Linked DNA regions of Arabidopsis thaliana. The protein of the gene in region 2 interacts with the protein of the main gene of each other region in a biochemical or structural test. Each region holds a gene or a part of one and is shown on either strand. Other genes may lie near its edges. The genes, in order: PIN3 and D6PK.

Region 1 (6,267 bases), on a different chromosome or scaffold from region 2:
ATTTTTTTTGTAGATTTTAATTGTTCCGCTACTTATATTTTTTTGTAATTTATGTCGAAATTTCAAAAGTAGTATAAATATTCCATATTTTATCCAAAAAAAAAGAAGTTGGAATACTTTTCATGTTTTCATAATCAGAGTGGTGTTTTCTTAGATTAATTAATTTATCAACAAAATCTGCAAAACTTCTATATTTTTTAGTTTAAATTTTATTAGTAATTAAAACTAATATGACATAAAATTAAGATTCCATTGTCTCAAATACAAAAACAATTAAAAAAAAAATTGGGGGCAAACACAAAAATATTTCATTGTTAAACATACTTTATATCCAACAAACGCATGGTTAACTATACTTCAAATATTAGGAAGGAAAAATCGGCCCGCAACACGAGAAAAAATGGCGGAAAACTCTGATAAACTACATTAATAAAAACTAAACACGGTCGTTTTCAGTCAATTTGCTTATATCCATTTTTTACTTTGTTGACAGAAAAAAAAATACTCTACTTTCTTAAAAAATCAATTTCGAAAGAGAGAAAACAAATAAAGAAATGAAAAGGAGCTTTTTATTAAACTTTAGACAAAGCTTTTTTGACTTTTAATTATCTTTTTGCCTTTTCTTTATCTTTTTGTTTTTAAATAATTATTGTTCATCATCCCTACACACACTACATGGACTATTAATTACATCACTACCAGCTTAAACTAATGATAACACGAAATGCTTTCAGTGCCAAAGCGCCTAACCCAATTCTCCCACTACGACTCTCATCATTTACTACAGCAGAAAAGAATCAGTAAAGCCACCAAATTTGATCACAATAGTACTAATTAAGAATAATAATATAAACTGTTTACTTTTAAAGCGTTATTTGCTCATGTGAAACTGGAACAAGGGAATATTCAAAATCAAAACCACACTTTTCTTCGCTAAAAAAAATCTACACAATAATCAACTAAGAGTTACCCGAACCTAATCAAAGAACACAAAAAAAAAAAAAAAAAGACTGTGTAAGAAAAATAAAAGTTACAAAAATAATAAGTTGTCTTCATCTTCCAATCTTTTATTTATCTTTTCTTTGTCTCGTTGCCCCATGTTTTGCTCCTCCTTATCTGCGTCCCATTGTCTCACTCAAATAATCTCCCAATATTCTATATATAAAAAATATGGGAGAAGAAAGGGTTTCTTGGCTTGTAATGTTGGCATCAGCATTCCTTAAATCATGCTACTCCCTAGTTGTACTTACATACTCTAAGCTTTTTTTAGTTTGTTCCATGAGACACTCTCTAGTTTCCCTTTCTTCCTTCTCCCTCTACAATTGACTCTTTCTCGGGGCTTTCATAACCGAAAGCTTATAACCCGAGTAGAATGTAGTAAACCAGCGTGATCGGAAGCGCTATAAGCATTCCAAATATTACCCTGAAAAGTCATTCAAGTTATCACAATGTTAAATGTTATTGAAAGGATTGCATTAGTAATCATATATGCTAATGGAATAATTATCATAAAATCTTTGACTTACCCTGTACTTAAAATAGCAGGATGAACATTGTACTCCTTCGCAAACACAAAGGGCACAATTCCTTGAGGTAATGCGGCCTAAAAAACCATACCAAAACATTTTCACATTTTTCATATTACACCAAAAATAGTTTTAACCAAAAAAAGAGAGAGAAAATTTTACCTGAACTATAGCGACACGCAGTAAATCACCACGTAATCCGATGGCTATAGCAGCAACCGCCATCACGGCCGGACCCGTAAGGAACCTAACCGCCATGGCAAACGTTGCCACTGAATTCCCACAAGCGATTAATTTGGGTTGCAACGCCATGAACAACCCTTCACGATTATTTCACATAAAGTTTAATTTCAAAATCAGGTAATCAATAAAATTTTATATATCTAGAATAAATCCAATAAAGTCCCATAAAAATGGGGACCATGACGACTATCAACAACACGAGACCATGTCGTCCACCATTACCATTTATCTAATAAGACACTCACAACATAGCCCCACCTGTCGGATGGTCCATCCCCAATTTTTTGTTTTTCATAATATAAATCACAATGACAAAAACAGCATATAAATTTATGAACTACCTAATTTAATTCCATTGTTATGTAAATGAGTTAATATGTCAACGAAATATGCAAAATTTAGAAATTTTCCGTGACAAGTAAGACGTTTGGTATGAATCATATTTATTCATTTAAATGGCTTCAAAACTAAAATTTCGAGAGGAATAAAAACAGAGTACGAAGAAAGACTTACCCAAACTAAACATTGCCATTCCAAGACCAGCATCAGATAGAATGGAGATAGATTGTTGAATGATTTTGGGCATTGCCACGTGCCACCTTCAATTCAAAAACCGGAATAAATTTCCCGATAACCGGTTGGTTCGAGTTAAGAAAACAATTAATTTTGATTTACTAACCGGAAAGCGACGAGAGCCCAAATAAGTCCAATGAGACTAGAGTAAGTGTTTGGGTTTCTGATGAGTTTCCTCCAAACCATTATCAGTATCAGCCTTGTCATCACACTCGCCGGAGGCATATTTTTTCGTTGACTTGCTTCGGCTCCTCCTAGACCTGTCTTGGATTGTAGCGCCGCCGTGGAATTTGGAGCAAGTTTGTTTAGACCATTCTCGGCGTCTTTTGGTCTCTCTGCTTCTTCTTCTTTTCCGGCGAAACTAAATTGTTGTTCTCCTCCGAAATCTCCACTTGCTGGATGAGCTACAGCTATATTCACCACACAAAACAGAATTGAGAAAATTTGCAGTGACTTATCAAGAAAGTTATCTAAAGATTGCTAACCTTTGGTCTCGCCGTTGTGAGATTGATCTGGGACTAACATACGGATCTCTTTAGCACCTTGGTCAGATCTTCCGCCTTGATCGTTGTCAGGTGCTCCGCCGAAAACGTTAAGACCCGCCCGGTCTGAAACGGGTGACCCGTTTGAGCTCCAGACGAACATGTGAAGCTCCTTGGCGTCATGGCTGTTTGACTTGCCGCCCGTTGGAAGAGTCGTCTGCTGATTCGTATTAACGTCTTTCGGGTTTTTATTGACGCTTTTATTGGCGGTAGATGTGGTGGTTGAAGAGAACTCTGGATTCGGAGCCGGATAAGACCCGGCTCCTCCTCCAGGGTAATACCCGAATCTCGGGGAGGATGCCATGGCGCAATTCTCCTCGAAGTTTGAAGGTCGAGGAGTTGGACCTCTAGATGATTGAACGGAGTACATATCCGCCGGACCGAAATTGGAGAGACGACCACCGGGGAAACCCATCATGTTGTAAAAATCAGAGTGGTTGAAATTAGAGCCTCTAGGAGTGGTGCTGAGACTATAAATCTCAGCTCCGGTGAGATTTGACGGCCGTGGAGTCATGTTCGGGCCGCAGAACGAACGACGTGAAGCGTTGGATTTTCTCACGGTGACGTGAAGCTTCCCGTCGTCACCTATCTCTGCATCGGTCTCAAGAAAATCATGGCCGTCGAGCGAAACGACGTCGGATTCGACTTTGAAAGAAACAATGGAAGCAGCCGTCTCAGGGAACTGCTCCATGATGAGCATCTTGGCGCCACGAAACTCGAAGAGAAAAAGGAGAAGCGTGTACCAGATGATACACTGGAGGACGACGATTTGGACCATGAGGGAACCAGAGTATTCGCCATACATGGCGATCAAGAGAGGAATCCCCATAACAAGAGTGTTGGGAAGTGTGGAGAGGGAAAAGATTGTGATGCTCCACTCGAGGCTACCGGAGCGAGTGAAATTAGCCCATAGGACTAAAAGTGACAACATGATGATTTTTTGGAGAGTGTCGGCGGCGATGAACCGGAGATTCATTGCGTAAGGATTGTTGGTGGAGATGAAGTGAAAAGAGAGGAGAGGGACGGCGAAGATGGCGACAAAACGGTTGATTCCGGAGCATTGGTCGGGTGAGAAGATTTTCCACCACCGGACAGAGCCGTAAGCGAGGATCATGGCCACGTAGAGAGGAATCACGGCGGTGAGGACCGTGTAGAGGTCGTGCCATGAGATCATCTTGAAGGGACAAAAATGGAAAACCGTTAAGCAACGGTGTCGGAGGAAGAAGAAGAAGTGAGAGGACTTGGGAGCAGTGTGTGTGTGGAGTGAGCAAGTTTGGTTTTTGAGGATATAATTTAAGGAAGGATGCCACTTTACACCTCTTTATACAGCAAATACGTGACCACCCAAGTTCCTTTTTACTAATTTATTTTATTTTATTTATTCTTTAGTATGTTACATTTTTTATCGATCTTATCAAAAAAATAACAATATAGTTCTTTTCTTTTAAGATATTGTTTATAAGATTTATTATGTTTTTGTTTAATTATTAAATAATATTCTTTTTATTATTATATTGAATAATACATCTCATCATATGGAAAGTTTAAAATAATACAAATTAATGGTTAGAGTGTTTTTCAACATTTTTATATTTTATACTACATAACTAAAATCTAGTATTTTTTGTTCGACTGATTGAAACGGACATATTGTAGATAACAACATACACATAAATAGTCAAATAATTAAAATAACTGATAAATAAGAATATTGTTGAATAATTTCAGTGACATTCATGTGCTTGATTTTTCATTTTTTATGATTCATGAAGATTAAAGTAAAATATGGAAAAATAGAAACTGAGTCTGCCACATTTTTTACTTGTACAAATAGCATCTGAGTTAGATCTTAAGAAGAAGGTCTACATGTGGCACTCTACTTTTGGGGATGGGCATGGCAGAGACATACCTTTTCTCTTCTGTCCCCTAATCTTTGCTTTTCAATATTTTACTTTACCTTTCTTTCACATTCTCTAACTAATCCATTTTCGTAATATGAATAAATCAATATCGATATCAATATTAAACATATGGGTATATTACTAAATTAAAAACTAATATCTTGGTACCCCGGCTAATAATCAAAAAAGCAATAGTTAAATATCAAAAGTATTTGGAAATTCTTTTTATATTTTGTGATGTTTGATAAAACACTTTTTATAAAGTAATCATTAGAAAAATAAGGAGACAAGATGGGCTGGAGACAAAGAAGATCCACTAAGGAATTGGATGGCTCAAATGGAATTTGGCTAATGGCGTCGAGTGTGTCTATGTGTTATTGTTAGGTTTACTTATTTGTCTCGTGAAGTAGGCAACACTCAATTACTCCTTGGACGACATAAATTTTAGCCTATATTCTCATCGTTAAGCTTCTGTCTAATTCCCCTTCATGATATTAGTTAACACGTCGCTTCGGAATTATTTGTTCACATAAACTAAAATCTGAATTTAGTGTAGAGATGATCGGTTTAAACTTTTTAACCAAAACAAAAATTGAGATGAACTGAAATTAGAACTACAGTGGTTAACCTCTAACTAGTGGTTGGAGGCTAGCGGTAAACATATCTTTTTAAATAGATTAATAGAGAAATAAAATTCAAAAATGAATTATCAATGAAATTGATATTAGACATTTATTGATTTGATATTTGAGTTTTAAAATATTATCATCACAATGTAGTACTTATGAGTATAGTTAATATATGTCATTTTTATTTATGAGTTTTACAAAACCAAATAGCTCAATTTATTGTATAAATTTAGTTAATATATCATTAAATCACTTATATAGTAGAAAAAAATATTTTCCTGTATTTTATTCTTATAATTTTTTTTCCCGATATGGGCATTACTACCTTTTTAGTACAGAGCCAAAGTTTCACATGAGTAAATGGCTGAGACAGAGAATGTCGTGACCTTCTTGTGACTTAGTGTTGCTGTATCTTTCTGATTGCATAAAATATTACTTGACACAACTTCCTCGAATAAGTCCAAACATGAATGATTAATTGTGATTTAAGCTAAGATAAAATCTGCCGTCCTTACAAAACCATATTATACACTTTATTCAACTATTTATCATAATCGAATCAACCTATTATTATATCTTAATATTTTCACTCAATTGACATTCAATTAACAAAATAAATAATCCTAGATATCGGCAAAAGATTTAGGGAACTTTTGGAAGCACTTCATATGTCAGCTTAACCATTTCCATTAACTACCAAATTATTCCATCTGTTTAAGTGTTTATATAATTGATAATTCTAGCTAATGTACATAAAGATCTACACAAAAATATACATATTCCACAATAAAGCTAGTACACACAGTGTTGTGCGTATAAGGCTATGACTGAGTGACTCAAAATGTTTATGGCT
Region 2 (5,246 bases):
AAGATCAGCAACAGAGAGGTGACTCAAGAATCAGTTAATAATAGTATCTGTTGCCAGTCTCGAGCTGTCCCAGAGCTGAACGGTAGTGGTTGCCAACAAAATGGGAACTCCTCTTACTGTCTGGAGGAGATTCACACAGAGAAAAATACCTCGGAGAGAGTAACCTCTGTAAAAAATGCATCTCTTCGGATAGGAAGCAGCGAGAATGGATCTTCTGGTGGATTCAAGGTTTGTGCGGTGATGTCAATGTGGTTGGAGACTTGGGAGAGAGAAGATACATATGCTGCTTTAGCTGTTGCTTGTGCTGCTGCATCTGTGGCTATTGCTTATAACTGCTATAAACAATTGAAATGAAGCTATGTGTTTTATATTTAGCTTCTATGCAATGGTAATTATCTCAGTCTTTAGATTAGTTGTTTCCTCTTCGTCTGTACAGAGTTAGAAGAGGGTTTTAACTCTTAAGTAAGAACTGCTTGTTGATAACATATGATTATTATATATCCATTTGTAAGTAATTACGGGTTTAGTCAATTTGGTTTAGAGTTCAGATCAATGAAAAGCAAGGAACTTTTGAGGTTTTGATATGGTGGATTAATGGATTCTCAATGGTTCGTGTCTAACATTAAACTCAAGAAGATGGTACAGAGACTGTCTCACAACTTTGAAGAATGATTACAAATCTCATAACTTTTTCCAAGACGTGAAAATTAAAAAGAAGAAAAAAAAAGAAACACATTTGTAGAAAACACTAAACAGAATTTGCAAAGAAACAATAATGAGAATCATCAACTGTGGAAACAGTTTCTTCAGAAGAAATCAAACTCAAGATAATTACTCTGATCAGATCTTACACTCGAAGATGCGGCTGCTGGCACAGTAGGAGTAGGATTCAAAGCTTCAAGATCAACCGGTTTAGGAATCTCCGGTGGACTGGCACATCGAACCAGAGCCCAATTCACTCCTTCAAAGAAAGGATGTTGCTTTATCTCTGTTGCTCCACGCTTATAAGCTAATCTATGTTGTGGCTCCTTCACAAGCAAACTCCTTATCAAATCCCTAGCTGCGAAGCTAACAACCGGAGATTCAGGGAATCTAAGAGGCTGACCAACCACGTTGAAGAGCGTTGCTCGATTTCCTGACCCTTTAAACGGTGTTTTACCAAACAATAGTTCATAAAGAAAGATCCCAAAGGTCCACCAATCAACTGCACTTCCATGTCCTTCACCTTTGATGATCTCTGGAGCTAAGTACTCGTGTGTGCCAACAAAAGACATAGAACGGGCGCCTGTGGGCTCTGCAACGAGTTCTGGTAACGGAGTTACTTGGTGGTTCCCGTTTTCGGTTTTCGGTTTCTTGTCTTTCTTGGATTTCGATGAGAAGAACCGAGGACCGAAGCAAGATGTTGGAGCCATTGAGATGCAAGATGGTTGCTGGATGCATGCAGGTTGTTGCGAGCAAGAAACCGAATTCTTCGACAAGCCTTCGGATCCAACATTAGCTGATCTGACTATAGAGAGGCTCACAGTACATCTCAGGGAGAGATCAAAATCCGAAAGCATCACGTGCCCATCATCTCTCACAAGAACGTTCTCGGGTTTCAGATCACGGTAAATGATCCCAAGCATGTGTAAATATTCCATTGCAAGAAGCACTTCCGCGACATAAAACCTGCAAAACAGCAAGTCACTAAGGTTATATAAACGCACAAAACTAGATTCTTAGATAAAGAAAGTTTAGAAAAAGTTTCTTACTTAGCTGCTTGCTCGGTGAAGCGTTTCCCGGGTTGTCTCTGCCTTAGTGTATGCAAATCACCACCAGGACAAAACTCCATCACCAAACAAGAGAACTTCTCTGTCTCAAAATGACTATACAAAGTCGGAAGAAACGGGTGATCAAGACACTGCAATATCTCTCTTTCAGTTTGAGCCCTAAGAAGCTTTTTCCGGCTAGCCAAAGCAGTTTTATCCATAACCTTCATCGCAAAATAACACCTAGTTCCATTCAACTCAGCAAGATGAACAGTTCCAATATCTCCACATCCTAACCTCTTCAAGAGCCTAAAATGATTCAAACCCAAACCACCATGTTTAGTTCTAACAGCTTGAATAGCTTCCCATCTCACATCATTAGCCTTGTGAGGTTTGTTGATACTGCTACTAAAGCTGCTACAAGTGCTCTCATCGCTTATATCACTGCTTGTACTTGGTCTACAAGTGCTACTCTTTCCACTCTCACCTTGCTCGTTGATCTTACTATTACCGGTTTTGCCATCACTACTTGGATCAGCGAAAGACAAACTCGAAGATACTTGATCTGCTAAAGTGTTGATTGACATACTTTGACTGGAATTGGTAAGTGATCCTTCTGGAGTTTTTGAAGCCATCATTAACACAGAGCAATCTTAAACACCAATTCCTTCTTCCCTGAGATTTAAAGAACTTGTCTTTACTCTCTAGTAATCAATACTGTCACAGATTCCATCAACGAGTGGCCTGATCTATAGTCATCAAAACAAAACAATAGCATCAGTTTAAAGCTGGATTGAGAAGACTCAGAAACAACAATCACGGATCTTACTACAGATGAAAGTTTAAGTAGATGCACAAAATTTTACCCAAATTGAAATATCAAATCTAAGTGACAAATCAATTAAAGCTCTTCATGCAAAAAGTTTGGATTTTTATTTTGAGTCTTTAAGGGTAAAAACAGATCTCGTTAAAGTAAAGAAGAAGAAGAGGCAAAATAAAGAACTTTTGGATCTAGCAAGAATCAGAGAATAAAACCCAGAAAAAGAAGAAATAAAAAGAACAGAGCTTTAGAGAGAGAGAGAGAGAGAGAGAGAGACCCAATAAATCGTTACCTGAAAGTGAAGATTTTTGAGCGATAAAGATCACGAGATACCCTTTTCGAAGCAAAGGGAAGGAGAAGTAGAAGAAAAAAGGAAGGAGAGGGAAAGAGAGAGAACAGTCACTGTTCATGTAAGGCTGTAGAGAGAGAAAGAGATGTAAGAACACATCTGCTTGCTTCCATGGAAATGGGGATAGATAGAGAGAGGGAGAGAGAGGAGAGAGTGTTGTTAAGAGAGAGAGAGAATTGGGTCTACCATGAAAAGAGGGAAGAGGAGAGAGAGGGTCAAATAAAAAGTTGAATACTTTTTTTTATTTTTTTTATTTTGAGGGAATTTCAATTATTTCAATGTATTTTTTTTTGTTTTCTCCAAAATGGAAGACATATGTTTACATCAAGAATGCTCTCGCGAGCTGTTAATAATTTTAGGCTTTTTAGGGCAACCAAATTTTTATTGATACATGTTATTGTATATTTCCTACATGTTTACTTTATATTTTGATTTTCTAAATAATTGTCTATAGAAATTTTTATATATATTTACCAAAAAAATTCCTTTTTGATTCTTTAAATTATTAAACACATCAATTTAAATTATTAAAATTCAACATTCTTATCTTTCATCTATTCTCATGAATCTGTCATGTGCCTTTTACTTGATGATAAAAAAAATTGATGTTTACCTCTATGCATAAATTTATGGATTTTACATATTTAGCTTAAGTTTTCACACGAGTTTTTCAGTTTAGCAATTCTAAGTAAGAACTATTGTGAATGCACATTTTTGTTAGAAGGACAATCCCATATGCGTGCCACCAAACTATAATTTTCTGTTTTATTTATGCGGTTTGGAAAACATCGTCCTAAGCGTATGTTTTCGTCATCATGCAGCATCTTCGGAAGTTTCTTCTTGTGTTCTAATGGGTGAAACTTGAGGCATTAAATGAACATTAGCGCATACCATATCACAAAGAGTTTTGCATCTTTTCGGATTGCCAATAGATGATAAATCTTATAAGCTGAATGAAGACATAACAATAGATATTTTATATCTCGATTTCTTTTGTTATCAATTCCATTTACATCCAGTGTTCATCCAATTTTATGGTCGAAATAATACTTTCTAAAAGCTTGTTAGCATCCGTCAAACATTCTGTTTTCAAATTTTTAGTGAAAGTTTTTGTCATTTACCAAAATCAATAAAAAAAAATCTTTTAAGTTTTTAAAAATAACTAAACATTCCAAAATTGTATAAACCTTTAAAAAATTTCCCTAATAACAAATACGTAAATTGGTCATGTGTATTAATTTTATTTTATTTTTTTACTAAACACACCAAACAATTATTTAAAATTAGACTCACCATTGTTTGAAACTTGAGAGTTCCAAAAGATGCCCCTAAAACTTTTCAGCAAATTCTTATTTATTGCCCAATAATAAGTTTCCTTAGATTCTAAGATTATATTTCATGTATTTTATTTTTTTTCCCCCACATTTAAATCGAACAGAAACAATGTTTTTTTAGAAATGGTTCAACAGGTAGTTGACAAACCAGAAGATTGTTCAACATAAAAGAACACAAGTGGGTATAATTTGTTCATTTCCTCATATCTCAAATAATTCATATTTTAACCTCATGCTCTTATTAGATCCAATTACTGCGTCAATTTTTAATCGAGAAGCTCAGATCCAATAACGACAATTGCTACACGATCGGCTTGTGACGTGAAACGCGAGTGGGGAATCTTTCTTCATTATAATCCCATTTCTTTAGGTTAAAAATACTGCAATAATAACAAAATAAAAGGTTTAGTTTATTAAAATGTTTTGTTTACCATGATACTTGAGGGATTAAGGTTTCTAAGTTTCTTCATTACAATTTAAATCATAGCTGGACACTGTCACTAAGGATGCTTTAACATTTAAATGGTAAGAATATCCATTTTTATACAAGTTTCTAGGTTTACTCTTAGATTTAGATCGAGTCCTCTCAAAGTCTTAATTATATTATTTTCTTAACAAATTCATAGAGATTCAATGGTTAAAAGATTTATCGTGAAAATTAAAGATTCGAGTGTTCCTACAATGAGATTAATCATTATTGGTGGTAGTTGTGAATGCTTTAAATAGCAAAAATACCTAGTTCTTTTATGTCCAAAAAAACTAGTTTTTTTTTTTTGGTAAGCTCCAAAAAAACTAGTTTAGAGTTTGGTTTAGATCTCTTTGTTGTAACTTATAAATATAATGATAGAGATTTCTATTTATTATCAATCAAAACAACTTCTACACGCAAATTCGTTTACCTAATATTTTTTAATATTTTAATGTTCTTTCCAGTTTTGTTTTTGTTTCACTAAAGTCAGCCAAAATAATTCAATTATGATGGGCATATTATAAAA

What was found.
Region 1: of the proteins of D6PK (region 2) and PIN3, one has a biochemical effect on the other in vitro, tested with the Arabidopsis thaliana proteins (one study listed by BioGRID).

What each region holds. Positions count from the first base shown.
Region 1 is NC_003070.9:26,740,961-26,747,227, reverse strand, and holds PIN3 (Auxin efflux carrier family protein), read right to left. Parts: upstream 4,289-6,267; 5' UTR 4,059-4,288; coding exon 2,828-4,058; intron 2,753-2,827; coding exon 2,449-2,752; intron 2,369-2,448; coding exon 2,283-2,368; intron 1,847-2,282; coding exon 1,689-1,846; intron 1,604-1,688; coding exon 1,527-1,603; intron 1,424-1,526; coding exon 1,357-1,423; 3' UTR 759-1,356; downstream 1-758. UniProt on the Arabidopsis thaliana protein: Acts as a component of the auxin efflux carrier; this activity is enhanced when activated by PID-mediated phosphorylation. Seems to be involved in the lateral auxin transport system.
Region 2 is NC_003076.8:22,639,249-22,644,494, forward strand, and holds D6PK (D6 protein kinase), read right to left. Parts: upstream 3,167-5,246; 5' UTR 2,861-3,166; exon of another isoform or gene 2,615-2,860; intron 2,498-2,614; 5' UTR 2,387-2,497; coding exon 1,752-2,386; intron 1,669-1,751; coding exon 807-1,668; 3' UTR 565-806; downstream 1-564. Other genes in the region: AT5G55900 (Sucrase/ferredoxin-like family protein), read left to right, coding at 1-354.